4 linked regions of the Tamandua tetradactyla genome follow. The protein of the gene in region 4 purifies or fractionates together with the protein of the main gene of each other region. This does not show direct contact. Links are inferred from orthologs where the notes say so. Each region holds a gene or a part of one and is shown on either strand. Other genes may lie near its edges. The genes, in order: PPP6R3, PPP6C, PPP6R1 and ANKRD28.

What was found.
Region 1: the proteins of ANKRD28 (region 4) and PPP6R3 purify together in Homo sapiens (co-immunoprecipitation; 3 studies listed by BioGRID and IntAct, with this or other methods). This does not show direct contact. The link is inferred for Tamandua tetradactyla from reciprocal best matches to the Homo sapiens genes ANKRD28 and PPP6R3.
Region 2: the proteins of ANKRD28 (region 4) and PPP6C purify together in Homo sapiens (affinity purification with mass spectrometry; 9 studies listed by BioGRID and IntAct, with this or other methods). This does not show direct contact. The link is inferred for Tamandua tetradactyla from reciprocal best matches to the Homo sapiens genes ANKRD28 and PPP6C.
Region 3: the proteins of ANKRD28 (region 4) and PPP6R1 purify together in Homo sapiens (co-immunoprecipitation; 4 studies listed by BioGRID and IntAct, with this or other methods). This does not show direct contact. The link is inferred for Tamandua tetradactyla from reciprocal best matches to the Homo sapiens genes ANKRD28 and PPP6R1.

The regions. Positions count from the first base shown.
Region 1 is NC_135335.1:6,105,071-6,112,653, forward strand, and holds the start of PPP6R3 (serine/threonine-protein phosphatase 6 regulatory subunit 3), read right to left. Parts: upstream 3,004-7,583; 5' UTR 2,877-3,003; intron 1-2,876.
Region 2 is NC_135328.1:47,350,902-47,358,749, forward strand, and holds the start of PPP6C (serine/threonine-protein phosphatase 6 catalytic subunit), read right to left. Parts: upstream 3,009-7,848; 5' UTR 2,778-3,008; coding exon 2,703-2,777; intron 1-2,702.
Region 3 is NC_135342.1:4,459,933-4,467,034, forward strand, and holds the start of PPP6R1 (serine/threonine-protein phosphatase 6 regulatory subunit 1), read left to right. Parts: upstream 1-4,096; 5' UTR 4,097-4,477; coding exon 4,478-4,537; intron 4,538-4,736; exon of another isoform or gene 4,737-4,885; intron 4,886-5,221; exon of another isoform or gene 5,222-5,297; coding exon of another isoform or gene 5,298-5,303; intron 5,304-7,102. UniProt on the Homo sapiens protein: Regulatory subunit of protein phosphatase 6 (PP6). May function as a scaffolding PP6 subunit. Involved in the PP6-mediated dephosphorylation of NFKBIE opposing its degradation in response to TNF-alpha.
Region 4 is NC_135341.1:72,721,698-72,729,663, reverse strand, and holds the start of ANKRD28 (serine/threonine-protein phosphatase 6 regulatory ankyrin repeat subunit A), read right to left. Parts: upstream 3,018-7,966; 5' UTR 1,622-3,017; coding exon 1,505-1,621; intron 332-1,504; coding exon 248-331; intron 1-247. UniProt on the Homo sapiens protein: Regulatory subunit of protein phosphatase 6 (PP6) that may be involved in the recognition of phosphoprotein substrates. Involved in the PP6-mediated dephosphorylation of NFKBIE opposing its degradation in response to TNF-alpha.

The sequences.
Region 1 (7,583 bases), on a different chromosome or scaffold from region 4:
TCCCTGGCCTCTACCTTCTAGATACCAGTAGTACCCCCTTCCCCAGTCAACCCGAAATGTCTCCAGACATTGCCAAATGTTCCCTGAGGGACAAAATACCCCCAGCTGAGAAATGCTGATCTAAAGTAAACTTAAAAATCAACCATCTGAGGTTCTCTTTAGGAAAAAAATGTGAAAGCTACTTTAAGCCAAGAATCTATGTGTATATTTTTCAGTAAATCCTCACTCAAGAAACAGCAGCTAACATTACCAGCCCACCCTGGACACTCTCAGACCTTGAGGACCAAACCACAGATTCTTGTGTTTTATATGACATAAAATCAATGCTGAGTTTTAGATGAGAGGAACTTCATTATCAATATCATTAAGTCTTAAGTGTAGAAAAATATTGTCAAATTTTAGACCAATATATACACAGGCTGCCTCTCAAATATCCAAAATACAAAGCTAGAAGATTCAAGCTTATCACAGAAACAAACTCAATGCTGATACTGACACATACTCTGCTTTATCAATAATAAGCACATTATCCTTGTACCTACCAAACAGAAGCAAAAAATCATCTTAAAGAAGCAAAGAAAACCTCACAGTGCCAAATCTTAATTCTATTACTATCCATTTCCTATCCAGCTATAGCAATTCTCAATGAGTGAAAGGAAACTACCAAGTTTTTGGTGTTTTGCTAAACTTTACACAAAAGAAGCTAAAGCTTTCTAAACCTAAAACAACCTTCTTCCTATTCTTAAGTTACACGACAAAGATTCTCATCTCTACTTAAAAATAAGTCTATCTACATATACTTCCCCAGTGCAATAAAGCAAGTCAGGTCCCAAACAAGTAATACCAAGAAAGGAAAGCATGGTTTGAGTACCACAGCTGGAGAAGAGCAAAGAAATAAAAGATGGTGAGTGTGACCTGGCGGATGACATTTTGTTAAATATTCTAGACTCCCTGATCAGACATACTGAAACGCAAAAGAGCTTTCAAAGCATCCACTACCAAGGACAACAGTTATTTTCCCAAACTTCTTCAGTGAAGTATATCTCAATATACAGTACCTTTTCAACATCTTAGCTGTTTTAATTCAAACCTCAATAACAAAGTACATGAGTACACTGAGAAACTCCGGAGTTATTTATTTGGGGCCAAATGCTGACTTACTAATCACACCCAAATAGTACCCACAAGCACATGAAGAACAGGGTCCTACTCAAGTTTTTGATGGGCTTTTCTGTATTTAACCACCTCTTAGACAAAACATTCTGAGACACCACCACAAATTACTCCAACAAAAGTATGTTATTTGATGACTCTTCAACCACCCTCAACCCTGAAAATAAAAACAACTTCTAGTTCCTCTTCTCAGACCCAACTGTCTCTTAATTACACAAAGCTTTCTAACGAGAGTCACCAGTCATCAAGAGCAAGGGCTTAACCATTCATCTCACTTCCTAACAGTATCTCAGTATTTAAAAATCAAATTGAAATTATTAACAATAGCCATTAATTACCGGGTTGCTCTCTGTGTGTCAAGCACCGTTCTACCTGCTTTACCTAAAATACATTAGCTCACTCCTGACAACCCTGAGGTGGACACCATTATTCCCATATTACAGAAGCAGAGGTTGAGTAACTTGCCCAAGGTCACAGAGCTAGAAAGTGGTCAAGCCAAGCTCTGAATCCAGACAATCTAACTCCACAGCGAAAGAAGCTCAGACACCACCACTAACTAATCAAACACTCGCCAGCGGTTGGACATCTGGGCTCCCTTTCCCAGTGGTTACCTGCCTGCCTCATGACCTTGAGGGCAAAATCAAAGTTAACGTCCCATTAATAAAATGGGACAGTACGAACAATAACAAGTGCTGTGACGATGCGAAGAAACTACAGCGTCCCTCCCATAAAAGCAACGCATAAACAACTCTATCCGACCCCCAGAGAAGATGTGCAGTAACCGGGGAAATGACGTTAAGTTACGAGGCTGGGGCGTCAGGTCCCAGAGCTCTATACCCAAAGACTCGTGGGTCCACCTGCAAACTACAAGTCCAAGTGGCAACCGAGGCAAGCAGGATCTCGAGCGAAGAAAGTTCCCCGCGAATGGGCTTCTTTAAGAGGGAGGTACTTCAGGCCACATGAAGGACCACCCCCCTCGCTCATATTCGCCAGGGAAGCTTTGGCGACCAGGTCGCCGTTCGAGTCACAACACCGGAGTTAAAAATCACTTGGAAGGGGACGTTAAACACTCCGAACTGGTTTTTGTGTCTTTCGATGACTCTGCGGCGAATTAACAGAAGCCCACAAAACTTGTTTCCCGGAGCACAGAGTCCAACAATGGCCGTCGCGAATCTTCACAGCGAGCTGCTGCCTCAACTTGACACGCTCCCGGGGGCCCGCACCGCGAAAAGTTCTCCGGGAGCCCGCGGCCGGGGAGACCCGGGGGGAGGGAAAGACGGCCGGTGCCTCCCGACCCTGCGCCGGGCTCTGGGCGGCGGGGCGGACAAGCGGAGCTCGGAGCCCGGTGAGGGGCGCGCCGCCGCCGGCCGCCGCTCAAGGCCGCGAACGTCAAGGCGGGCGCAAAGTTCGCCTCCCCGGCCCGCGTCCCGCCCCCGGCGCCCGGCCCGCAGGGGCCCCGGGGCGCGCGGCGGGCCAGCCGGGCGGCTGACAGCGACGGACGGGCGGGCGCGGGCCCGGACAGGAGGACTGGCCGCCGCGCCTCCCGGGCCCGCGGAGCGAGCGGATTCCGGGGGGGAGGGGAAGAGGGGCCGGGACGCTCCCTCCCCGCGCAGCCCAGGCCCCGGCGGAAGGCCCCGCGCGCCCGCCTGCGCGCCCGGCGCGCCCGGCGCCGCGGCCCGCCCCGTCGTCTCCCCCCCGGTTACCTGGAGGTGCCCACGACCCGCCGCTAGTTGCGCTCAGGCGGGAAACGCGCTCACCGACACCATCAGCGAAGCGCCCAAAATGGCGGACGTATCAAGCAGGCCTTGAGCTCCCCCCGCCCTCCCTCCGGACGCCTCACGGCCAATCGCAGCCCTGCCCCCGCCCCCGGCTCTACGCGCATTGGTCTCGCACTCCTGCCCCCTGCAGCCTATTGGGTCACCCAGCGGCTCCGCGGCGTCCACTCCGATTGGCTCGCGGTCGCCGTCAGTCAGGCTCGGGGAGCGCATTCTTTTCCCATGGACTTGACGCATCCGGAACCTTTAGGACCCCGGGGTCTGGCTGGAGAAACAAATCAGAAACCAGGAGAAACCCGGCGGGGTCCCCCTGTGCCGTAGCAACAGCGGGCCTCCACTTGACGGACGCTTCTGACCACCAATCCTGTAGGCAGTGCTCTTTAAGACGAAATTGAGCCAAACCAATCATGACCGTGGAACTGGAGCTTCAGGGGAACCAATGGGAGAACGGGCCGGCAGGCGGGGCTTCGTGAGGACGCCGCTGATGACGTTTCCCGCAATGTGTTGCCCGGCGACAAAAGCACCCCCGAGCGGGGGAATTAGCTCAAATGGTAGAGCGCTCGCTTAGCATGCGAGAGGTAGCGGGATCGATGCCCGCATTCTCCACATCCAAACGCTTTTTTTTTTTTTTTTTCCAGGGAGCTTCCCCGAAATCCTGAAGTACCCCGTCCAATCTTCATCTCCTCAGTAACGGAGTAGAGCAGCTCTTCCAGAAACGAGGGCGAAGCGACGAAAAGGGTTCTTGGCATGTCCCTTTTGTCTCCCAAAACGCTCGTCCGGGTGACCCCTGACCCCGCATGTCACCGCCAGTTCCCTCGCTGCGAGACCTCCTCGACTTCGGGACCCCGCCCCGTGCCCACCGCGAGAACGGGGTCGGCGCACCGGCAGGAGGGCCGGAGCTCGAGGTGGGCGATGAAAGGCGGGACAAGGTGCAGGAAGCCCTGGGGCTCCGTCCGGCGCCGAATTGCACCCCAGGTGGTGTCCCGGAGGAGGCTGGTGCGGGGGCGCCTTCCCGAGCACCGTGCTCAGAGCCAGGCGGCCTGGGGCGCTGGGGGGCTGGGGGGCGCGTGGCGGGGCCCTGCCGAGGAAGGAGGGAGGAGCCTGTGCACAGAGACCCCAAGGGGGGCTTTGGCGCCCTCGTGGAGGTGGGCCTGGGGGGAAGGACATGGCAAGACGAAGAGGTGGCAGGGGTGGGCGACAAGGCCGGGTCCCGGGGAGGGGGTGTGCTACAGAACTTGCCATTACGTTCAGAAGACCCCAATAGTCTCCAGTGCCCAGACCTCAGGGGCCTGGGAGCCCCGTAGTGCTGGCTGGGTCAGGGGTGGCCGGTGCCTGCTGTGAGCTCCTCCAAGCTGCCCCCAGGAATTCAGGCCTGGGAAACGGGGCAGAGCTCGGCCAGGGGGCGGGGACAGGACCTGTCCAGCAGGGCACCTGGCTGCACCCTGGATCTCCTATCCCTGCAGCTCGACGCCTCTCTGCGCCTCTCCCCACCCTTTGCAGGGGGGGCCTCAGCTGGCCTGAGTTCTCTCCTCCTCCTTAGTCAGACCTTCAGGGACCCGCTGCCAACCTGCAGGGAGAAACGGGCCGATTTGGGTTGGGTCAGCCCCCCCACACACACACACACACACACACACAAACACACACACACACACACACACACACCTGGGGTGGGGAAGCTGGGGTTCTGGTGCAAACGTGACCTCCTCCCCAGCCCAGCTCGCCCCTTCAGCAGAGCCTGCGGCTAGAGGCAGGGTTCACTGCTGGCAGCCTCAGAACAGTTTTCTCATCCCCGCTTTACAGATGATTAACTAAGGCCCAGAAGCATTTGAACACCCTAACCCTTACTGGCTGGACGACTTGCCGGGTAACCTGACTGCCCTGACTCACCTGGGAAGTACAGTGGCGACACCTTCCAGCCTGAGTCTGCCCTGAAGGGTGCTAGACCTCGAGGAGGGTGGAGGGTGGGGCGGGTGGGCAGTCTCCCAGGCTGAATGCTAGAGTCCTGATCCTACTGCTCAGAGAGGTCCCAGGGCCAGAGGGGGCAGCCCAGACTGAAACCCATTTCTGGGCACGAGGAAGGGAGGGCCACAGAGGGAAAACAAGAGCACAGCACCCGGGGAGGGGGTGTCACAAGATTGAGGGGAAAGGATGTGAAGCAGGTCAGGAGCAAATCATGGAGGTCTTGGATGACAGGTTAAGGAACTCGGGTTTTATGCCGGGACAGTGGGAGCCAGGGAAAGTTTCAGAGCAGGAGAGGTGTATTCAGGACCACCTGAATACTTTAGAAAGGAGGGATTGGAGCAAGAGGGGCGTGCTGCAGGAATCCAGGCAAGAGGGGCTGGGGCTGGGAGCCCTGGGACAGGGTTGGTGCCTGAGAAGGAGGCTGAGCCAGGTCTACCCCGCCCTCTTGGGGAGCCTGTGGAGACTTCTGCCACCCTCTGATCCTTTTATTCATTCATCATCAAAGGCTTTGCCAGCACCTGCTGTGAGCCTCCCCATCCCAGATTCTGAGGTGAGTCACGGGGCCACGTGCACTATAATTAAACCGCAGTACTTCACCCAAGGAAACGTCTCCAGTCACGGTGGGCTTCCAACCTAACCAGAGGGGTTGAGGTGAGGGAGGGCTTCCTGGAGGGAGAGGCATGTGAGGGTAGCTTGTCCCTTGAGCACCGTGGCGAACCGCAGGAAGTGATTTTGCAGCTCTGCATTGTATCCAGACTGGCCTCCCCATCCTAGAATCCACCTTCCCAGACTTCTAGATTTCAAAGGTCACCAGTTTTGCCCTTTTCCCCCAATGGTCTTATGGGTTAACTTTTAATACTTAAGTTTTCAATCCTGGACTTTTTAAAAAAGTATATAAAAATTGGCCAATACATTCAGAAGTAGGGAGAAGAGTATAATGAATGCCTTGTATCCAACAATTACATTTGGGGACAAATATAGAACAACCAAATTTCAATTCTATCAAGTAATGATAAAAAGACCATATCAGTTTCGCAGGGCTGCTGCCACAAATCACCAAAAACTTGGTAGCTTAAAATAACAGAAATGTATTCTGTAACAGTTCTGAAGCCAGAAATCCAGGAGTGGGTAGGGCTGAAGAGCCTGCTTCTGTCTCTCTCCAGGCTTCTGGTGGCTGCCAGCACTCCTTCGCTTTCCTTGGCTTGTAGACACATCACTTCAGTCTCTGTCTCCATCTGTCTCTGTGTCTTCTCTTTTGTCTCTTAAAATGACACGCCATTGGACCGGGGGCCCACCCAGTTAATCCAGAATGAACTTCTCGTGACATCTTTAGCTTAATTTTATCTGCACAGACCATTTTTCCAAATAAGGTCACACTCACAGAATCTGGGAGGGCATATCTTTTGCGGGGGGGGGGGGGGGGGGGGGAGGATACGAATTCCACTTATTATTGCCATGATTTCATAAAAGACATCTTAACACACACTCAGGAGTGACTAGCTCACTAACTTCTTTTCTGCTTTCACCAGGGCAGCATCCACCCCAGGCTAGCACTGGTCCGCCGGCTGGCGTGGGGGACCTCGTGGCAGAAGACGTGTCCTAAAAAGGGCCAAGGCTGGTGTCCAGCAGCCCAGCTCCTGGCTGGTGCTGGGTTGGGTCGAGAGGCGATGCGGTGGAGAGAAGGGGACAGCTGGGGGCTCTAGTGAGCTATGAAGCTTTGACACATTTGAACATGGACATGGAACCCTTCTGTTTCTTTTCCTTTTCTTCCCTGCATTGAGATTCAGCCTGGGGTGGGAAGGAGGTGAGTATTTTCCTCTACCAAGGGATGGGGGGTAGATGGAAAGGCTGGGGGTGCTGAGGACCAGGGTTACCAGTGAGCTTACGGGGTAAGAAAAGGAAAGAGGGCCCATGGGTGAAGAGAAGTAAAGGCGTGAGACTCTGGAGGAGGAGCGAGAGAAGAGGAGCCAGCTAGGGCTTCCTTGGCGGGCTCTCTGCCCCTCCATCTGAGGCTGTGTTCAGCAGAGACCCCATGCTGTGAAGAGCCAGCTGGAGAGTCTGCAAGGAGCCCTACAGGGGCTGGATGGGATCCAAGCCCCCACCCACCTTCCCTTCCACCCAGGTTTCCCAGGGGTAGGATGCTCCCCCACCCCCACCCCATCACCCATGTCCTGGCTCCCCCAACAGCCACGTGGGTTTTGTCCCACAGTCCGGGGGTCCTACCTCAGTGTCCCAGGGGAGCTGTAGGCCCAGTGGGGGCTGCTGGACCCAGGGCAGGGAGGGAGCCCCCATAGCCATCCTGGAACAAGGATTAGAGGAGGGTACAGCTGAGCCACTGGCGGGGAGGGGGTCCATTACACAAGGGACACCCCACAGGGCTTGAGTGGTGGCCAGTTAATTTAACCTCATTTAAGGCACAGCTCAGGCATCGCCTCCTCCAGGAAGCCCTCCTGCCTTCCCGGCTGCACTCAACGCCCACTCTGGGAAGTTGCAAGTGCTATTCTTTCCCCACCAGTTTGGAAACCGAGTCGGCCTCAATCCCTGGATTTAGAGCAGCATTGAGGGAGGGCTGTGTCTGACTAATCTTACAAGTGACGTAAGCAAGGGCTCTGTACACCACAGATGCCTATGTAAACTGGCCGATTTATTTGGCACCTGGTAGGAGGCCAGGTC
Region 2 (7,848 bases), on a different chromosome or scaffold from region 4:
TAAAAAGGTTATACTTTGTCCACTCATTTTTACATATTTCATTCTTATTCCTTCAAAGAAAGTAGATTCAATCCAGTAACTAGTGATCTGATCACTTTCAATTTAAACAGAGATCTGGGCCACAGTGGCTCAGCAGGCAGAGTTCTCGCCTGCCATACTGGAGACAGGGGTTCGATTTCTGGTACTCGCCCATGCAAAAAAAAAAAACCAAATACTCAAATACAGAGACCTCCTGATTAGATCCAAAACATCTTATGCATTTACTATCTGATCTAGTACCTCCAACGTCTAGTCAATTTAAGATTAACATGGGTATAGACTGCATGTGTGTGAAGATTTCTCAATAAAAATACTTTTTAAAAAACAAAAACTAACATGGGTAACTTCCTGTTACCTTCTTTTCTACCAAAACAACTTTCTTCCACTATGGTCATTAGGTGGCCCCAATGGTCTCTTTTCTTCCTCTGAAATAACCTTTTATTTGGGCTTTAAAACCTCTGAAAAGGTGCCACTGCAATACTTTCCTGGCCTACTTTATTTTAGTTTGCACTTCATGCCAAGGAACAGAAACAAAATTAAATTTCTTTAAACACACCAGAGATGAGCAGCACAAGTAACCTCATAAAAACAGTTTTAAGACATAGAAGGAAAGCTCTAATTAAACAGAAAAATAACTTTTTTCTCAGTAGTTTTCCAGATCAAGAAGTTTATTAAGAAACAGATAAAAACCACAGTTCAGCTGTATTTTAAGCAGAAACGAAATGACTTAATAACTATATTTCCTTAAAATGGAAAGGGAATCTAATGTTTATCCATCTAAGAGGCCTGAAGAAACTTCAACTGATTATTTTTCAAATCATTTCAGTACTCAGTTTCAACTCAATATCAAGACACCTTTTCATAAGAACAAGCGACATTTTATTATTCATAAAATAAAACTCAAAACAACTTCACAGAGCACACAAGCAGGTTCGGAGGTCTCCAGCCATGTGGGAGACCTGGGTTTGATTCTTGGTCCATGTCCATGTGTATACACGTGCACAAACACAAACGCACACCAGGGGGAAAAAAACAGCTTCTCATATGATAGATAAAAAGAAAACAAAATATCATCTCAATTCATTGATATGCAATTATCAACTTCACCTATGGGATTAACAACTGTACCAAACAGGTCTGGTAAATTTCCATGAATTGGGTCCCAATGTTGGTTGTGTTCTTGTCTCATGAAAAAGTACATAGCAGAAAGAAGCCACACAAAAAATAAAATTAAATAAATAAATAAAATCACATGGCTAATATATTAAAAAAAGAAATCAAACCACAAAACTAATATCTGAAGGATTCTAAGAGCACGAAAGCTACATTACTACTACTATTTCTCTGTCCTCATTTAAATTAATTTATTCTATTAAAAAGGGGAAATGCACAAGAGAGATTTTTCTATCATACAACACATATAATCAACATGTAACCATTCAGTTACATTCACAACAGCACAAGTGACCTTAACCATTTGGAATACTTCTTGACTAAGGCAGGTTAAGTATCAACTTCCTGGACAAGACAGGAAAACAAAAAAGCAAGTATCTCCTCCTTAAGAGAAAATATTCACAGAACAAAGTAAATTACCTTAAACTCAGATTAAACACTAAGCGGAACTGTCAACAGTTTACCCACTCACCACATAATATAAAAGTTTACTGAAGTAAAACAGGCACTTGCCCTACACGGTAAACACTTGCAGACATCTAAGCATTGCTTTTAGCAAGCACACAGAAACACTTCTTTAAAAAGCTGTATACCGGGCGAGCCACAGTGGCTCAATGGCAGAATTCTCGCCTGCCATGCAGGAGACCCGGGTTCGAGTCTCGACGCCTGCCCACGCAAGGAAGAAAAAAAAAAGCTGTACACCAATTCATGCAAACATTTCTGTTAATAGGGCTTGCAGCAACAAGGAAAAACACACCACCTCTAAAAACCAAGAAAGTGGAAACTTGAGGTAAGAAGGGAGGAACGACTTAAAGAGTAGAGAAATATGTGTACTTATTGAGGGCCTACTACTTTATCGACTTAAATTTAACTCAACATATAACCCAGAAAGGGGATTCACATCCGAATTAAAACAACCAAACCAACATTACAAACCCGCAATTCGGGAGGATGGTGAGGAGAGAGGGATGACCTGATGTTCTCCCATATCACTACCAAACCGTTTGGGCCATCGTCTTCCGATGCTTCAGAAACCTAAACACACCAGGGCCGCGTTCTGGGACGCAGGCGGCATCTCCTGTCAGACGCCGGCCACCCGGAGCTCCAATCTATTCTGTTCGAGACGACCCCCTCCCAAGAACACTAGGCCTGGGGCTTGGTTTGGATTATGGGAGACCCGGAAGTAGGAGGAGGAGAGGGGTCTTATAACTAGCGCAGTCAGGGCTCGGAGTCCGATAGCCAGGAGGGGCAACTCTGGGGCAGAGGCCGCGACATCCCTGCGGATCCCCACTGAAGAAAACTGAACAGCATTCCTGAGACGCAGGCTCGCTCGGCTCCCCGCGTAACACCAGGTCGAACCTGCTCACTCTGCGCCCTGCTGGACCCTCCACAGCAAGGGTCCCGCCGAGGGAGGAAAGGAGGACCGGAGGGCCCACTACTGCCGGACGAGGCGAGTCCAGCAAGCAGGACGCCCGCTTCAACGAGCTCACCTTTAGGTCGTTCTCTGGCAGGTACTTGCATAGCCGCGCTATTTCCACATACTTGTCCAAGTCTAGTGGCGCCATTTTAGAAGTACAAACCGCAGCGGCGGCGGCGGCGGCTGTAGATGTTGTAGCGGCGGCAGCGGCGGATGCCGAAGCCGGAACTCTTCCTACGTCACGTCCGGCCCATGAGAGGCGTCTGCGCAGCAAAGTTAAAGCTTGACTCGATTCTCTTGGCTCCCTCCGTGCGCCTTACGCCCTCTTTGGCTGAACCCGGGCTGCAGGCCCTTCGGGGCCGCGGCGGGTAGGGGGAGGGAGGAGGGCCTCCGGTCGGCGAACGATACCTGCTGGGACCCATAGTTGTCGTCGCGGGACTTGCTGGGACTTGTAGTGTGCTTTCGCGGCCAGCTACTCTTTTTTTTTTTCCTTTCCTTCCCTTCCCTCCTTCGGGATTTTCACTTCGAGGAACCCAACGAGGTTTTTCGGATGCAAAACGCAGTTTCCGACCCTTTTCACCACTCTCTGTTTCACCTTGAAGTCACTTTAAAATTGGGGCCCCCAGACTATGATAACCTGCTTACACTTTTCAAAGGCCTTGTGAAAACTTTGCCTACATCTTAGATTGTATATATTATTGAATAAAAATTTTAGAAATCCATGGATCTGCACAACAAAAACAACCACCACCAAATCTGTGGCAGAGATGTCAGGCTTCCAATCTTTCTGCCCGGAAGGAAGGGGGAAAATATCCAGACATTTCTTATGCAAAATGCTTTATAAATGCTGTTAAATCAATTCTCATCACATTTAATTCATAGGAAACCGAGAGCTTAAAGTAACTTGTCCAAAATTGCTCAGGGAATAAGCGGTGGGGCCAAAATGGAAAAATAAGTCTGGCTGGTTTAAGCATACTTAAATGTGAGTCCCACGGGGCATAGATTTTCTCGTTGTATCCCTTGCGCCAAGAACAGTACTTGGCATATTGCATGCCTTTAATATTCATTCATTTAACAACTGTTTATTGCACATCAGCTGTGTTTCAAGTATGATCGTAAGGGTTTAGGGTAGTTAGCAAATAAAATAGCAAAACTCCCTACCCTCAAAATGGATTTACGGTCTAGCAGAGGAAGACAACATAAACATTAAACATAATAAATAACCATATAGAATGTGCACGGATGGTTCAGTGGTAGAATGCTCGCCTTTCATGCGGGAGATCAGGGTTTGATTCCCGGACCATGCGCCCAAAAAATAACAAAAATAACCATATTATTAGAAAGTGATTTTTATTAAAAAAAAAAAAAAAAGGATTAAGGAGATAGGGTAATGTATTAAAAAAAAAAAAAAAAAGCTGGGGAATTAACCGCACAGATACCTGAGGGAATTGATCAGCAAGAGCAGATGTGGAGTCCTCAATAGGAAGTGCTAAGACAGGAGCGCTTCCAGAGTCTTTAGAAAATACAAGACTGGAGAGCTATTATAGAATTTTGAGTGGAGTTGAAATATGTTCTAAATTGTTCTAAAAGAATCACTCTGGTTCTGTATGGGGTAAGGCAGAGGAAATGGTTGCAGCTGAGAGACCTGTTGGGATATTGTTAGAAAATCCAATAATAGCTGACACTCTCCTCTTGCTCTAACATGTATTTGGGGGACAATTGGCAAAACTTTAATGAGGTCTCTGGGGGACGTGCTTTGTTCTATTCTTGTAATTGTTCTGTAAATTTGAAATTGTATCAAAATAAAATTAATTTAAAAAATAAGTTTGTTGCAGAGTTAATGCCTCCCACAAGCATTCATTTCTTCATTATTCAACAAAGAGGTATATAGTACCTATGATGTGAATAAGACAGATGTAAGACAACTAGGGAGCTTACAGTCTGATGGGGAAACAAAAAAAATGTAAATTAGCAAATATTTAATTGCAAAATGTGATTGGTACTGACTTCAGGGAAAATGGCCAAATAGACTAGCTCGAGCTTAGCCCTGATCCATGGAAAAGTTAGAGAAGGGACAGGAGGGCAACCAAGGTGGCGATTCGAAAGTGTTCCTGACTTGGGAGAGCCTTCTGCACTACATGCAGCAGCCCTGGTTGCAGAGGCCGAGGAACTGAGAGGCAGAAAGCTGGAGCGTGGCTTGGATGCGCAGAGCCACTGAGTCCATGGGTGTGCATGGACAGGAGCCTGGGACTAGGAAGTAAGCCAGGCCGCATTCCTTGGGTGCGCTACCCTCACTGGCGCAGCCCTGTGAACGGCAACTCATCCCACACTCCATGCACCCGAACCCCGTCACCCACTCCCATTCCCCACACTCCAAGCACCCCCACCCCACCAGCTCCCAGTGCACATACATGCCCCACACCCCCAGCCCAAGTGCAGCCCAACCCACCTCTCTTGCACACCTTCCAAGCACTGCCTCCCCCTCACTGTTCCCTGCAGGCTATTGCCAGTGCATAAAGGCTGCAGGCACTAACCTCCACACCTAGGCTACCCCGACCCCCCCACCCATAGTGTTGCACAGCCTCACTCCACCCTGCCTAAGCTCTGTGCATCTATTTATGGCACTCGCAGACCCACGCATGCGCACGAACCCCCAATCATGTCATTCGGCTCTGGGAACCGCACTTTACAGCAGCCCTAGAACTCCCTATGCGCATGGCCCTCAGCCACATTTCCCAGGTCTGAGAAAATGCTGACCTGAGCAGCCAGGTCATATCAGCCCCCAATCCATGAAGGCATAACGCCAACCACTGCCACAGCTCTACACATGTGTACAAAGGGCCCCGTGCCTTCTTCCAGCACACACCAGGGTTACGCCTCCTGCCCCCCCAGACTGGTGCATCCTCACAGCTATATCCTCCTCAGCTGCTGGGCACCCACGTTCACAAGCATCAGCATAACATCCCCAGCCTGTGCCTATACCTTCCCTGAAACAAATCACCACACAGAGTGCCCACTCCATGCTCTGCTCCCTGCTGTACAACAATCCCATAAACACAAGGCATTAGACTACTGAAGGAAATCAACACCCAAAGTAAATCAATCAAGATATTTACATGCAATGAAGACAGCAGAAGATCATAAAACATATCACAATGCAGATAGATATAGCCCTACCTAATGACCAAATTAAAACACCAGAGGAGACAAAGACACTGGAAAAACTAATCAAAGATGTTCATACAACTCTACTTAATAAAATAAGTGGAATAGCAAATGACATAAAGGAGATCAAGAAGACAGTAGAAGTAGAAGTAGAAAAAGACAGAGCATAAAGAGGAATTTGAAAGAATAAATAGAAAAATAGTGGATGTCACAGAGATTAAGGACTCTGAACAAATGCAAAACATACTAGAGGCACACAACACCAGATCTGAAGAGACAGAAGAAAGAATAGTAGATATAAAGGACAGGATAATTGACTTCAAAGACTCAAAACAGCAAAAGGCAAAAAAGATGGAAATAATTGAATGGGAACTCAGAGAAGCGATAGACAAAACAAGCACACAAATATAAGAATCACTGGTGTCCCAGAAGGAGAAGAGAGGAGTAAAGGGCTAGGAAGGGTGGTTGAGGATATAATGGGGGAAAACTTTCCAACCCTCATAAAGGACACAAATATACAAGTCAAAGAATCCCAAAGAACTCCAAACAGAATAAATCTAATTTTAGGCCTCCCCAAGGCACATACTAATCAGTCAGTCAAATGTTGAAGAGAAGCAGAAAATCTTGAATACAGCAATGGTAAAACAATCTACTGCATACAAGGGAAATCAAATAAGACTGACTTCAGACTATTCAACTAGCACCCTGGAGGTGAGAAGGCAGTGGTATGATATATTCAAAATCCTGAAAAAGAAAGACTTCCAGCCAAGAATTCTATACCCAGCCAAATTGTCCTTCAATTGAGGGAGAGATTAATGTTTTCACAGTCAAAGAAACTGAAAGAATTTGTCAACAAGAGACTGGCCCTACAAGAAATACTAAAAGAAGTTCAGCCGGTTGAAAGAAAAAAAAAACAGGAGAGGGAGGTCTGGAGAAGGGCACAGAATTGAAGAGTACCACTAAGAGTAATTTTTTAAATACAAAGAGAAAGAAGGAAAATAATATATAGATCTGACAAATAAAATAAAAAAGATAGGTGGTGGAATAAAGAAGCACATTTTCAGTAGTAACTTTGAACGTGAAAGAACTACACTTACCAATTAAAAGATACAGATTGAAAGAATAGATTAAGAAACATAATCCAGCTGTATTATGCTTACAAGAGACTCATTTTAGACACAAGGATAAAAAACAGTTTGAGAGGGAAAGAATGGAAAAATATTTTTCATGCAAGTTGTAACCAAAAGAAAGCAGGAGTAGTTGTACTAATACCACACAAAATGGACTTTAAATGTGAAGACACCATAAGAGACAAAAAAGAACACTACATACTAATTAAAGGGCCAATTCACCAAGAAGATATAACAATCATAAATGTTCATGCTCCCAATCAAGGAGATCCAAAGTACATGAGACAGACATTGACAAAACTGAAGGGAGTGATAGAGGTTTCAACAATAATATAGGAGACTTCAATACACCACTCTGCTCTATAGATAGAACAACAAGACAAAAGATCAACAAGGAAATAGAGAAGTTAAATAATTTGATAAATGAATTATAACTAACAGACATATATAGGTCATTGCACCCCAAAGCACAAGGTTATACGTTCTTCTCTAGTGCTCAATGAACATTCTCTAGGATAGATCATATGCTGGGGCACAAAACAGGTCTCTATAAATTTAAAATATTGAAATTATTCAAAGCACTTTCTCTGATCACAATGGGATGACGCTGGATCTCAATAACCACCAAAGAACGAGAAAATTCACAAATATATGGAGATTAAATAACACACTCTTAAACAACCAATGGGTCAAAGAAGAAATTGCTAGAGAAATCAGCAACTATCTGGAGATGAATGAGAATGAGAATATAACTTGTCAGAACTTATGGGATATGGTAAAGGCTATGCTGAAAGGGAAATTTATTGCCCTAAATGCCTATATTAAAAAGCACGAAAGAGCAAAAAATGAGGACTTAACAGCACAGCTGGAAGAACTTGAAAAAGAACAGTAAACTAACCCCAAAGCAAATAGGGAAAGAGAAAT
Region 3 (7,102 bases), on a different chromosome or scaffold from region 4:
CCTGTCTCTGCTCAGCCCCCTGGAGGGGTGCTGAGAAAGGACCGGGCTCCAGGGGCCCCACCTCCTGCTTTCAGGCTCATCCCCCCCACCCCGAGCCTCTTGTCCACACTGCTCTTCCAGCAGAGACGGGGCTCCTCTCCCACTGCCACTTTGTCACCTCCTCTGGGTGCGTAGTGGTGGAGGGGCGAGGTGCGGGCCGGGGCCTGAGAGACTGGGGAGGGAGGGGAGGAAGGCCGCCTCGGGAGCTTGGGGTAATAAAACTCTTACTCCTACCACCCACAGAGCCATTGCCTCACTTCACCTTTCCAGCCTCTCTGGGATGGGGTGCAGGCACATCTAACCTTCTCCCTGCCCCCCAACTTCTCTGAATTCTCTTATGTTTCGGGAATTCCCACCTTCGGCTTCCAGGCCTCCTAAGGTCAGGTGTTTTTTCCCCCAGCATCAGAGCCTCCTGTACAGGTCTGCCGCCGGCAGCTGCTGCCTGGAAAGGACGCTTGTCCAGAGTCCACGGCCCTTGAGGCAGGGTGGAGGGGCGGGCAGTCGAGTCCCTGCCCAGGCCCCCCGTGGAGGCAAGGCTGCTGCGTGTCCCAGCTGCAAAGTGCCAAGCCCAACTCCACCTGCTCTGAGATCTGGGGGTCTGTCTGCCTTTTCTGTTTGCCTAAAGTAGGTTTCTGTTGATGCAACTAAGGGCCCTGCTGCAGGAAGCAGAGTCCGAGAATCTTGCATCCAGGATTCCAACCTAGGACTCATCCCAAAGCCCTGCTCCTCCCCAGTGCCCTCGCTTCCTGGCCCCATCTGATGCCAGGTCATTACTTTTGCATATACAGCACTTGCCTCATACTTTTGGGATTTTAGAGGGCTTAGTTAATTTCAGTTCTCTTCCATTCTCAAATTCAGAACAAATCGAGGCAGCTGTGGGAACAGAGAGTTGGAGATCCAATGTCATCTCGTTTATTTTTGAGCCATTTACATCATAGCTGAGGAGTGTTGCTTCTACTCTGCACCAGCATTAGACCAGCACTTCTGCCTCAGGCAGCCCTGGGCAAGCAGCAGCCTTCCCATGGGTGGCAGAGTGGAGGCCAGGGGACAGGAGTTCTGGGGCCAGCCTGTCTCCAAGAGGACAGGAAGTTGGAGGGCTGACCCCAGCCTGGGGGGGAGGGGGGCAGAGACATGCCAGGAGAGAGCCACTGGTGGGGGGTCCCCCACACCGAGCCCTGGGCTCTTTTGTTGTTTTAAAAGTTCCCTCCAATTCTTAGGCAAATAACATCTTCCTGTGAGTTCTGACAGGAGCTGAGACCCAGATTTCAGACAGTAAAGCCCCTGGAGCTTCCTGGGTTGGGCAGACTCGGTGCCTCAGCATCTGTTTGGTGGTTGAATATGGCCTGAGCCTGGGTGTTAAAACTGTGGCAACTGTGTAATCATATGTAGGGAAAAAAGCAAGGAAAATGATAGGTAAAAGACAGAAGAGTGCAACACAAAAGAAAAAATGATTCAAAGGACAGAAGGAATTTCTTCACAATTGCTTCAAGAGTGTAGCAATCAGAACATGGGTCTATTGAAACAAGGCCTTTAAAATATTTTTAAAAAAAGATGAAAAAAGGAACAATGGCAAACCCAAGGAAGTAAACTAAAGTTCTGGTAAGTTAGATTTTTCACCAGAGATTCACCCCCTCCCCTCCCACCTTCGTGGGAAAAGTACATTCCCTGCCTATGGCACGTGGAGCCCACCAGCCCATACTTCTTGGGCTTGGCCAGGTGATTTGCTTTGATCAGTGATGGTGGCAGATGTGAGGCAAAGGGAGATGTGAAATGTGCTTCCAGCTGGGCTTGATCTCTTGGGCTCCTGCCTCTCCTGAAAAGGAACCTTGGACAGCCCTTTGGTCCCATCTGTGAATGTAATAAATACCACCAAGGTTGTGGTTGTCATGCAGCGTTAGCTAACTAATACAAGGAGAAAACAACATCATGTGTGATAAACATACCAGAAATAGCAAGGACCAAAGGGGACATGGCTGGAAAGTCAAATGACAGAACCAGAGAGGTGGCAATGTGAGAAGAACTGAGCCCAACATCTCTGATTTTGAAGATGGGGGTGGGGCTTCAACCCAAGGAATGCAGGTGGCTTTTGGAACCCGGAGAAGGCCAGGAGGTGGATTCTCCCCCAAAGCCTCAAGTAGGGAATGCGCCCTGCGGTCACCTCGAGTCACTGGAGACCCATGGTGGACTTCTGAGCTCCAGAACGTAAGATAATAAATGTTATTTTAAACCACTTTAAAAAAAAGCAAAACAAAGGACTGACATAGTAGTGACAGTGAAGGCAGATGAAAATGACAAAGATTAAAGCAATTACCAGCTAACGCGTGTGAAATACAAATGCATAACCGGCATTCTTGAAAAAAAAACGAAAAACTGAATCAATAACTAAAATGCATAAAATACAAAAAATGTCCCCAAAATGCAGATTTATAGAAAAGGGTTAAGTCCTTAAGTGCATTTATTCATTTGATGCTTACAGTGAGCTGCTAAGTGGGCAGGACGGGGCTAATTGTCTCTATTACAACTGGGGAAACTGAGGCTCGGAGCCAGACAGGACCTTAAAGGACACTGACCCTAAGCCTAGGAGGCCCGCGCAGTCGATGTTGCTCCAGAAGTCTTTGCAGCAGCGGGCAACAGCCAGGCACCGCCTGGACCGAGGCGCGGCGGCGGCGGGTGGAGGCCATGAGGGAACACCCGGAGTGGATTTCCCGGCAGAAGACCGAGAAAGGTGAAGGGGCTTCCCAATGGAGCCGGAGGGAAGAGAAAACCCGGAACAGGGTTTCCACTGGATTTCGGAATGAAGTCGTAGAACTGGCTCCCGGAAGGGCAGCGGCGCCTGCGCATTCCTCCGTCTGGGTTGACTTGGGGAGAGACAGTTGGCACGAGCCGGCGCAGGCGCAGGCGCAGATCCAAAGCCCCGGCTTAAGGAAGCGCAGGCAGTCGCGACGGTGTTCCGGGTGGGCGGGGTAGGGGAGCCGGGGCCTCGCGCGCACGCGGGCTGCAGGATCCGCCCGCGCTGCCCCGCCGCACCTGCGCACCGAGAGGGCCGCGGGCAGGCGGGGCGTCCTGCGCGCTCCGGCGCAGGGGATTGTGGGATCGTGGCGTCGGGCGTCGGAGGCCTGAGGCGGACAGTAGGCTCCCGGGACCCGTCGGTTTGGGGAAGGGGCGGCTGAAGGAAGCGGGCCTGGGCTTCCGCTGGCCGCTGCTCGGCTCTGCGGCTTGTAGGGACTCCGGAGGGCGACGTTTTCCCCGCCCGCCCTCTTCGTTTCCGCGGGGCGCCGGCCTGGGCCGGGGAGACCGGAGCGACTGGGGCGACTTCCCCCGCGCCCCGCCGAGGCCCCTGCGCGGGTCCTCGCGGCCCGGCCAACCCCCCGCCCCGCGCCCTCGACCCCCGCGTCCTTCCCCCTCGCCTGCGCTCAGCCCGCAACTCTGCGGCGCTCGGCGCGCGGGGTCCCCCTTTGACCCGAGGGTGCCTGCGCGAGACCCCGACGTCGCCCCCCGCCCCCACATACCGGGCCCCTGAGCGGGGGCCGGAGCCGCCGGCGGCGGGGCGAGGGGGGCGCCCCGATGAGCCCCGAGTGCGAGGAGCCGCCGCCCCCCCACGCAGGTGAGCCGGCCCAGCCCGGGACCTTTTTCCAGAGCCCAGTCCACCCCCAGGACCCCCTCGAGCCCCACCTAAGTACCCTTCGCGGGTCCCAGTCTTCTCCCTTTCGGGTCCACCCCCACCTTTGTTCCCTGGAATCCTTCCCTCTTCCCCTGGACGCCTCCTCATCACTTCCCCCCCCAAGTCTAGAGAGTAGCCTCGGCCTACCCGCCACTCTCTTCCACCTTTGGCTTTACCCCGGCAGTCTCTTTCTCCTCGCTCCTCCCCTTCCCCCCAAGAGTCCCTCCGTTTTGCACCTTCATCTGTTATTACGGTGTTTTTCTTCTCAGTCCCCTCTTCCCCCTTCCCCCCTCATCTCTTCCTCCTGCCCCCCATCTCTGCCTTACCCCCACCCTTCCCTGTTTCCTGCCTTCTTGGACTCGTTTGCCCTCTGCCTGACCCTTGGGTTGGGGAGATAGGGGAACGGGGGTTTCCCTTCTCCCTTCCTGTGGGTCCGCTGCCCCTGGCTGCCTCTGGCTTCTCCTTGGGAGGAGAGGTTTAGGACCTGGGATTGTCTGGAGGTGTCCAAGTCCTGGTTCCAAGTCTGTGAGACGAGGCCTGCCGAGGGCAGGGCAGGTGCTTCATGCTGGGCACAGAGGGAGGTATCCTGCCCAGCCCTGCCCTGGAGGGGGCTGTGTCCCTGGGGAGATACAGGCAGAGCTGGACAGTCACAATTGCTATGAGGTATTGAGATAGAGGTAACTCAGGGTGCCGCAGGAGGCTGAGAAGATTGGGGACCGGGAGACTGGCGGGGCCGGTGGCTCTCTCTATCTAGGAAGGATGAGTTGGAGTTGACAGATGGAGAGTGGGAGGAAGGGCATTCCTGGTGGAAGGAACAGCGTGTGCAGATATGTGAAGGTGGGCAAGTTGGGGGTTCAGCACTGGGCGGCTCCACTGGAGTGCAGACGTGTTGGGAGGGAGTGGTCAAAGCTGGAGCCTTGAGTGGGACTTTCTGTGTAGGGGTGTTTCTGGCTAGCTCTTTTACACACATACGTGTGTGTAGATACATATACACACAGACACGTGCACATACATACACACATGCATTTACACACAGACACGCACTGAACATCTGCACTGAGGACACAGTCGTTGCCCTGACACTGGCCCAAAAAGCAAGATGTTTCTGGAAAGGAAGATGCTTTCAGATGTGGTATAGTGGGTTCAGAGCTGTGAAGACTCCGCGGGGAGTTTGTCCAACTCCAGGTAAGGTTCAGATCACCAGCACACAGGGTGAACATTGCAGTGACTCACAGTTGCCTGGAAAATCCAGCCTGTGTGGTTTACATCCATATTCTGTAGAATACTGTACCCAGGTCTCAGAGGCCACCACACCCAGAGACAGACACTGAGGGGAATGGCAGTGGGAATTGGTTGCATTTTAAAAAAGTTATGCTCTGTTTTTTTGTTTTTTAATTTTTTCCTAATGTGCATCATTTTGTGTCTGTTAAATGAGGCCATGTGACTCGATTTTGGGTGTTTTATGGCACCTTTGGGAGGCAGTGAAGGCCATTGGTTTAGAGCGAGATGTTTTTTCATCAGACCTAGGTTTGAGTCCCAGCTCTGCTGTCTGGTGGTGAGACCTTGGACAAGTTACTCAGGAGCTGTCATCTGGAGAATGGCGGTAACGGAGGGCCCTCCTCTCAGGGTTGTTCTGTGGATCAGTTCCATGTTTGTGGATGCCCTGGGCAGAATGCAGGGCCCAGTAAGTGAAAGGAATCCGGAGTTGTTAGGTTATTACATTTGCCTTGGCATCACCTATGGCATCTGTTCTCAGCTGGGGTCGCTCTACTCCTCTGGGGACACCTGGCCATACCTGGAGACGTTTGTTTGCCGCATGAGGGCGCTGTTGGCGCTGGTGGGTAGAAACCGGGAATGCTGCTCCCGTCCTGCAACGCACAGGATGACCCCCCAGCAAAGGAGCACTCAGCCCAAACGTCCCTGGGGCTCAGGTGCAGAGACCCTGAAGGCTGTTTGGATGGTGCTTGGTTCGGGCTGGACTGTCCTGTTGCTTCCAGTGAGTGGCTGTGTGGATGTGTGAATTCTTGTGTATTTTGATTTGCTTTTGTCTTTCTTTTTTCACTACCACCTAAAACATTTTATTTTTAAATGTATCTTAACTTTATTTTGAAATAATTTCAAATTTACAGAACAATTGCAAAAATAATACAAACGCTATACAGGAACTCCAGCATACCCCCCCACCCTCCAGATACCCAGATCTACCAATTTTAACATTTGGCCACCTTTGCCATATCATTCTGTTATCTCTCTCTCGATTATGTATCTATTCTCTGGATAGTTGAGATCAGGATTGCCCGCCTGCTCCTTGGATACATAAAACTGTCATGCGCATTTCCTAAGAACAAGGATGTTCACTTATGTAACCACCATAAGCGCAGTTATCCCATTCAAGAAACGTAAAACTGCTATAGAGCTTACGTTCTGTATTCCTTTTTTTGTCCTTACATCTCAGTGTCCTTTTGATCCTTTTTCTCCTCTGTTCTTAGATCCCATCCAGAATCATGTATTGCATTTAATTGTCATTATCTCTTTGGTTTAACTTTCTCTTTTTCTTAATTGTGGATATATATAACACACATAGATACCGTAGATCCTCCCATCCCAGCACACTGTAGAGTGTGAATAGTCACCTTCACAATGTTGCAGTACCTTCCCCTCCATCCATAACTGGACCTTCCTTTTCGCCTCAAACAGAAACCCTACACTCATTTTCCGTTAACTCCCCATTGCCTCTTCACCCTCCCCTGGTAAATTGTACTCTACTTTTTGTCTCTATGAGTTTGCATATTCTCTGATGTTTTCAGTGTGGTTATCGTGGGCTTAAATTTAACATCGTAAACCTGTAACTATCCTGTTTGCATTGACACCAGTTTAGCTTCAATAGTGTACACAGACTATGTTCCTATACCCCTCCATTCCCCCACCTTTATGTCATTTTGTCACAAATTACTTATTTATACATTGAGATCAAAACCATTGATTTATTAAACTTTAGGCATTTGGCTTTTAGATCCTGTAGGAAGTTAAAAGTGGAGTTACAAATAAAAAATAGAACAGTATTGGTGTTTCTAGTTACTTACCTCGTTACCCTCACAGGAGATTTTTATTTCTTCCTATGACTTCAGTCAGTTGTCTAGTGTCTTTTCCCCCAGTAGAATTCCCCTGTCTAGTATTGATGAAGTCCCTCAGCTTTTGTTTATCTGGGAATGTCTTAATTCCTCCTTCATTTTTTTTTTCACTTTTTAGATTGTATAGTATAAAATATATATAAAGCAAAAGAAAGAAAAAAGCAATAAGTTTTCAAAGCACTCTTCAACAAATAGTTACAGGACAGATTGCAGAGTTTGTCATGGGCTGCTATACGATCCTTTTTCCTTCTAGCTGCTCCAGTGTGTAGAG
Region 4 (7,966 bases):
TTTGTGTTTGAAATACTTCAAAGTAAAAATTTAGAGAATAAAGGACCCTCATTGGCCTCTAGCACTCTTTTACTTTTAATTATCACCCTGAATACATGTCCAGTCTCTTTCCTTTTCTGCCTCAGAACTCTTTCGCTGGCACTGAAAACAACTGTTAAAGAATTGTGCTGTGACTTTTAAACAAAAATCAAAATTCCAAGAGTTTTAAAAGGCAGATTTAAAAGCTAGTATCAGTGAATTGTTTTACCTGAAAGTTAACATCTTCTTTCTTAAATATTAGTGCTCGAACTTCATCAGGATCTCCATTAAATATAGCTTGCACCAGTGATGGCTAAAATATAAGAAAGCAATAAAATATTAGTTGCACTTAACACATGGATGATTCTACAGATATTTTCACACAACTCCTAAATCTAAAAATTTTCTTCCTTGTAGCACCAATCATTTTATTACATTAATCAAAAGTTTTGCGAAGCCAAATCATAGCGAGGTAGAGGAGTTATTTTGCAAAAAAAGAGGGCTTAATTAAAAAAAAATTCCGTTGGACCAAATTTAAATAGTATAATAAAGACAACCAGAGTTCTGGTGCCTGCCTATGCAAAAAAAAAAAGGACAATCAGAGTCTGTTTTATTAGAAGGTTTTTTAAATACGTATGTTTGGTAAAAAGAAAGTCTCTTTCAAATACAAATGTGACACCCAACATCTACTAGGGGGACAAAACTTATCAAACAAATAGTGTTCAAACTATGCCGAGGCCCATGAATTATATACATAGAGTACTTTGAAAAGTTCTCTTTGGGGCATGAAAATAATTTGTGTCGGTTACCATTATAAGTATAAAAATATAAATTCTAAGAAAGCAAATCTGGCAATTGATGAAAATTACTATCCAAAGACCAAAAAAAAATACTGTACAACAGAATGACACAAAGAGACAAGCACATTCATGTCTAAATATAATAATTTCCTAATCAACAACCCAGTCTCTCTGATAAGGTATCATATTATACTGGGCAAAAAAGAAGCCAACTGACAACAGCATTAAAAATAAGGTTAAGGATGAAGTCTGATTCTCTTTCATTTAAACTCTTGCATCTAAATACATAAAATCCATACTGAAAAGGCTATATTTCTGTTTTACTGGTAGTAGTCAACCTTTCCTAAAACACGCAGAGTTCCTATTTTTGTTACAGCAGTTTCTAAAACCACAAAAATGAAAACAAAAACGTGGTTGCCATGGCTACTATTTCTCCAATTGTTTTTAAAAATCTTCTTTTAACAGATTAAAAGAGTGAAGTCTGAAATATTATCTAAGCATCTGCAAAAGTAAAAATCAGAAATGTGTGCATGTTATACACAAGAAATACTGCACCACACTTGCACACCTATATTTGCTTTAATTTGGATTCATAATGAAAAAATTAGAAAATATATAATATTCTTTAAAAATTTATCCTAATAGTTCAGTAGGCTATAGTAAACATATAAACTAACATATCTTACCAATACATTTCCAGAAGATGGAGAATGATGGGATTTATTTTCCTGTGGCAATTTAGAAATGAATGCAGGAGATTCATCTTCTACCTCCTCCAAAACAACAATACACACTCGACTCATTCGCTCTTTTAAAATACTAAATTCCAAACTATATGATAAAAGTCACAGTTGAAAGGGCACAAGTAGTTTTTCCTCCTCTTCTGTACAACACTTAAAAACATTCTCTGTGAACAGCACAGCTGGTTTTTTAAAGTTAATAAGTACTATATAACTTATAAGTCCCTAAAAACAAAATTCTAATATTTACTATTAGATTACCGCAATACTTAAAAGAAATTTCACATCAACATGTCAGTAACTAAAACTAAGTCCAGTACAAGCTCATTTAAAAATATTTTCCCCCTACCAAAATAGTCATATTGCTTTATCTAACAGAAATTCACTTGCACAAAATGGTCACTGTTTTGGTGACACACCACCACACGATGTAGAATGAAATGAGAAACAACTGCTGTGACAGAGATGATCACGGCTATACCCACTCTTGTCTGCAAGGTCATACAGTTACCAATAGCTGGCCTTCTTATAACTGAAAATAAAAATAAAATCTCACTATTCTGTTTCCACTTCTAATTTGTCTTCGTTTCTTTGGCTTCACTGGTTTAATGCAGATACTATCCAGAAAAAGGAAGAAAAAAAAGCAAACACCTAGAGCTCAGCACAAATTCTGAAAATGACGCTCAGAGGCTGACAATTCTTTCTCTGTTTGGGAGGGGAAAAAACCACTCTGCATTACTAGCAAAACTGCAGTACATTTACATGCGATGAGTCAGGCTATAAGAGACAATAGGACTCTTGGTACTAGAATGCAGCTTGATTAATCCAGATTTCCCAAATAATAGAATAAACAGAGATGGCTTTATTTCCATCGATAGCATAAGCAAGGCATAGTGTTCATTCTTTCTTCATCAGGCAGTTGTCTGTAGCTGCTCCAGTAAAAGGGTACAGGCAACAGGGAGAAATGGTGTTAGTGGAGAATCCTAACAGAATAAGCAGGCTGCAAAGGAATTAGAAGGCATTTGAGCTCAAATTACTGCTTCAGGCTTTTCATTTAAAAAAGAATAAAATAAAAATAACAAAGTAGCTTATCATTCCAGCGTCTTCTTTGATCTCCATATAAATACAGCATCCATTAAATAGTCTTCATTCAGAGGGAAAAAACACACTGTGCATCTTCTTTGAACAAACTACTTTATTCAATCATGTGCCTCTGTGCCAATATAGTTTCCTTCCACTGAGAAAACCGCTACAGTTATCCCTCTCAGTAGATTTCAGACGCTTTCCTGTTTCTTAGATGATCTTGCAAAACGCCAGTGACACTCCCAAATGAGTGGGTCCTTGAAAAATACGTACAGAACCTCGGATCGGTCCCAAAGAAGCATTCCAACTGAGCAACAGTCTGAAGAGCAAAGGACTGCAGACCCGCAGGATGAAATGCCTAGTAATGCTCACATGTTACACTTACCAGAGATCTGAGCCACTGCTCAGGATGTAACTTCCTCTAGCAGGAGAAAAAAAAAATAGTACATTTGGACAGCCTTCACAATCAGACGGTTCATGCCAGTTCTGTGACTAATCCAGATCAAACTGAAAAATTCTATAACTGAAAAATGAGTGCGCTTTTAACATTTTCCACTAAAAGCCACAAGGAAATCTGGTGCACTGCCTCTGCTGACTAACACTGGTTTTAGCAAGTAAACAATTCCGAACAGCCTAACTGCTTTCGTATGTTACAATATAGCAAATACTTAACCCTATAATGACAGCAGCAATAATAGGTCCTCAATGAATTCATGAAAGAGATTTAGAGATGAAGGGGAAATACAGTAAGAATAGAACCTTAACTTTTTTATTTTTTACCAAAATCATTTTTAATCTATTAGATGTTACACTATTTTCAAGAACCCACAGAAGTTTAAACAAGGCAGATTTACTATTTGCTAACAATATTTGAATAGTTGAACTTAATCATTAATTCATATTGTTAAATTGAAAAAATAAAAATTAGAAATCCTATCTAAAATTCTATGAATCGTTCACATTTTCACTGAAGAAATTAATTGCATCTTCCTTCTGAAAAATGAAATAATGCTTTAAAACCTGTTAAACAGCTACACACAAAACAAGTATTTAAAACTCTTGGTTCTAGATTATCTGCATGTCAAAAGGGCACAGGTTAATGCAATAAAAACAAAGAATCATTAAAAAAAAGAAGAAAGCAAAAAAATCTCTCTCCCTCACAAAATAATCTTCCCAAATCTACAAATAAGTACCTGAACCCACCATCTCCTAACTGCCATCCCTACTCTCCACCCCCACCTTTATCTGCTTACCCAATAATGGGGCACTTTCCAAGAGAAAAAATCCAGAAAATACCTTGGTCCCCCTTCAATCTGTGTTCATTTTGCTGTCAACTAGTATTTTTATTAATAAACATAATAGCTATTTTTGAACACATATGCTAGGTGCTATACATTCTTATTTAATACAATAACCTTGCTATTGTAAGAATTCGAGAATTTTGCCATGCAAAGGAGGACTCCAAGAGACGTTCTCTCATGCAACACGCAAGGGGTTTATTTTCCACACATGTGTGGGGCTCGCTGAACACGCATGAACAGAGAGCCCCGAACCTAAGTCTGCAAAAGCTTTTTAAAGGGTAAGATGAGGGGGGTGGGGGTTGAGCATGGGTCACAGGTGCTGTTTTGCAAAAAAGCAGATAAGAACAGTTTTACAATAAGCATTTTTTAACAGTTTTACAACAAGTAACCTTGGCGCCAGGATTGTTTATCTTCAGCCTGATGGGGCCCATAATTCTTTTCTTTATAATTCTTAACTCACACTAAATGCATAGCCGTGAATATAAAATGACACAAATGCTTTTGCTGGATATTTCAGAAGCTAAAATATATATAAATAGCTAAATTAAGCAGGAAAAATTAGCTACTGTTAAGCTTTATAAAATTCCCTTTTACACTATTATTCTTTATAGGGGAAAAACATACTCAGAAACTAAGTATTTTATTCAAAGTCATGCAAACTAGTAAAGCTGTTCTTTTACTCATCTACTTTGCTTCCATTTTGTACACATATATTCACACTCAACATCTTTGCAACCTAAAATACTAGCTTGCAAAAGTGATCTTAAAAGACTGGGAATCTATAATGGTTATGAAAAGTTCCAGGAATGAAGGAGTATGCTATCAATGGCAATTATACTCTAAAACAAGTTTTTTTGGGGATGGGTATTTCAGGACCAGTCTTAACTCACATGTTTGAGTAGGATTACTTGTCAAAACCATAAAAGGGGGAATGGGAGGGTGGGAGCATGGTATACAGATAAGAACAAAAGAATTTAAGAACAAAAATCATCAAAACCTACAGAATATCAATCTATGAAAAAACCTGTAACCCTAATGTATCTATACCAAGGTACTAAAATATGCAAACAGTTCACAGTTATAATAGATATAAAATGGTCTAAGCCAAATTAAAGGCATGCAAATATTCTGACATACAAAAATGAAGTTAGCTATCCCCCAAATGGCTGAATCAAAAACAGTATCTTAATTATTTGCTATACCTGAAAATGAAGCCATTCTATCAACAATATTCTATATTTCCTCTTCAAGGGTTTTTCACCCTCAAAACTAAATCTCTTTTTACATGTAGAATTTGAACTTATTCCAAAATATCAGCGCTTAAGTTCACATACTCAGACTTAAAACAGGTAGTATCCTGTTTCTTGCTCTAGGTCAACTTTAATACTTAGGTCTCTTCCAACCACAGAGCAAGATATTTGAAGGCAGGAATTGTATTATATACACAGTTTCCTTCCAATTTCTGCCATATGTAATAATTTCACTCAAATATACTCTGACACAAGACTCTACAATAGAGTGGCAGATTAAAAAGACCAACATGCAAATTTTTTTCAAGGTGCATATATGTACTTAAATGAGAAAACATAGATGGCATTAAGGTGCAACAAAATGAAATTTCTATCTCTAGTAAGTGAGCATCTTAAAATTTAGAAGTTGATCAAATGTAAATCAATGATATAAATAATGGTTAAAAATTAAGGGCTCACTCATCTACCTGGAGCTCAAATTCTGACTTCAAAATTTACTAGCTGTTGTCCTTGGACAAGCTATTTAAATTCCCTTAGCCTAGTTTCTTCACACTTACAAGAATGATTAATAATCCCCAGAGATTTTATCAAGGAATAATATGTAATAGTATATCGAGTGAAAATGTAGTCTTTGTAGACATACTACCTGGATTCTAATAAAGGCTTCACAGTAAATTGTGTGACCTTGGACAAATATTTAACTTCTCCATGCCTCATTTAAACATCTATTAGATGACATTAACAGAATATATATCACAGTGTTACTTTGAACGTTCAACAAAATAATCTTACTAAGGATATTCAGGATGGATAAACAATACTAGCCCTTGTGAAACCAGTAGATAAAGGGCTACTGAACTCAACACCCACCCCTGCCGCTTCCCATAACCCATGAGGCATTCAGACTGCTATCTAGGGATTCAGTTGCTAAGTACCCACACTTTTCAGAGACCTCTTGAGAAACTGCTAGAAGCTGGTCTTAAAGACTCCAGTAACCAGCCAAGAGTTTAAGTATTACTGGGGGGAGGGAACAGTAAACAGGTTTTTTCCATTTTTCCATATTCCTCCTATTTTATAGGGTGGGGAAAGAGAAGAATCTAAAGTATTGGCCCATGATATATAATCAAAGTCAGATAAGAAAAATACTGAGTTAAATACTACAACATTTTTTACTATTTAAGTTTGTTCTACAGTACAGCACTGCTTCATATCTTGTTAACATGTACTGACTTAAGACAGGATTTCTAGTCTCAAAAAATTCACATCTTGAAAAGAGACAAGTAAACAAATATTTTAAAAACTAAGGAATGAAAAAAAATACTTTGAATGAAAAGTTACTGACAAAGATTGTGCAAATTCTTAAGTTCAACTTTTTTTTTCAGTTAGGGAAATAGCATAGAGGATGTGGTTTTTCTTCAGGTAATTACTTTTCAAGCCAAATTAAAGTTTTTTTTCTTCTAGAACATATTAGTAAATTTTCATTGTTTTTCAAATCTCAAAATCACCTACCATCATTAATCCATCTTATGCTGACATTATTTAACCTAATTTGAACAACCATTTTAAATGACTGTAGCCCTACTAAAATTGAGCTGTCTCCTACCTAACAGTATGTACAACAAAAACACAGATACTTATGGTCATACCTTATATTAATTATAAAGTGCTCAAGTATTAATGTGTTTGAAAAGTTCAGTTTAATTTCCTTTATTCCACTTTATTCTTACCCTTTTCCTACTTTTTCCTCCCAGGCATGGAGGAATCCCAGGTCAGTGAGTTGAGATCCATCCTAGTCACTATTATGGCTGCATTTACAGTGAATTATCTGTTTGGGGATGTGGCAAGCCTGGGGGCTGGAAAAACATTTTAGCTGGCAGGAAAGCAGGGTATCATGCCCTCTTTAGAAGCAATCTTCTACCTGCCTCTTCATGTGCCTATCCTTGTCAAGGATTTCTATCATTGAACTTTTCTGTAGATACTGATACAGATTTGCATTTGTTCATCATTTTGACACCAAGCGAGGCAGAGGATGATAAACTGAGGCTCCTGTGTTCCACTGAATCAAATAAACTGAATCCTCATTCAAAAGAAAATCCACTCCTGAAAGCTAGAAATCCATTTACAACAGAGGAAAGACATTTTGCCCTCTATTTCTGCTTCCACCTGGAAGCCCCTTCCATTTCTAAAAAGTTCTCAAAATTAGTATACAAACTTTCGACTTCGATATATCTCCATCCCTCCCCCTTCATATTACTGTCTCAGATAACATCTTTAGACATTGTATGGCCATTAACATAAATTTCTAATTTTTTTTTCATATTTGCCTGTTAGGTCATAAAGAGGGGAAAAAGCAGTTACAAATCCAACGTACAGTAACAGAGGATTTTATATTTACTTATGTAGTCATCTTTACCAAAGTTCTCTACTTATTCTTATGGCTTTAAGTTACATCATAGTGTTCTTTTATTCAGCCTATAGGACACCCTTTAGCATTTTCTTATAGGGCAGGTATTCTGGTAGTTAACTCTTTCAGCTTTTGTTTATCTGTGTTAATTACACCTTTTTTTTTTCTGTATGCTGTATGTCCTTGGTCACACTTCATTCTTTTTCTATTGAGTATCCCATTATTGCAGCACCCTTTGTTGAATTTGTTTGTTTGCTTGTTTGTTTTTTGGGGAAGTGCATGAGCTGGGAATCAAACCCAGTTCTCCTGCAAGTGAGGTGAGAAATCTACCATCGAACTACTCCTGCACCCAGACTCTGTCATTTCTGAA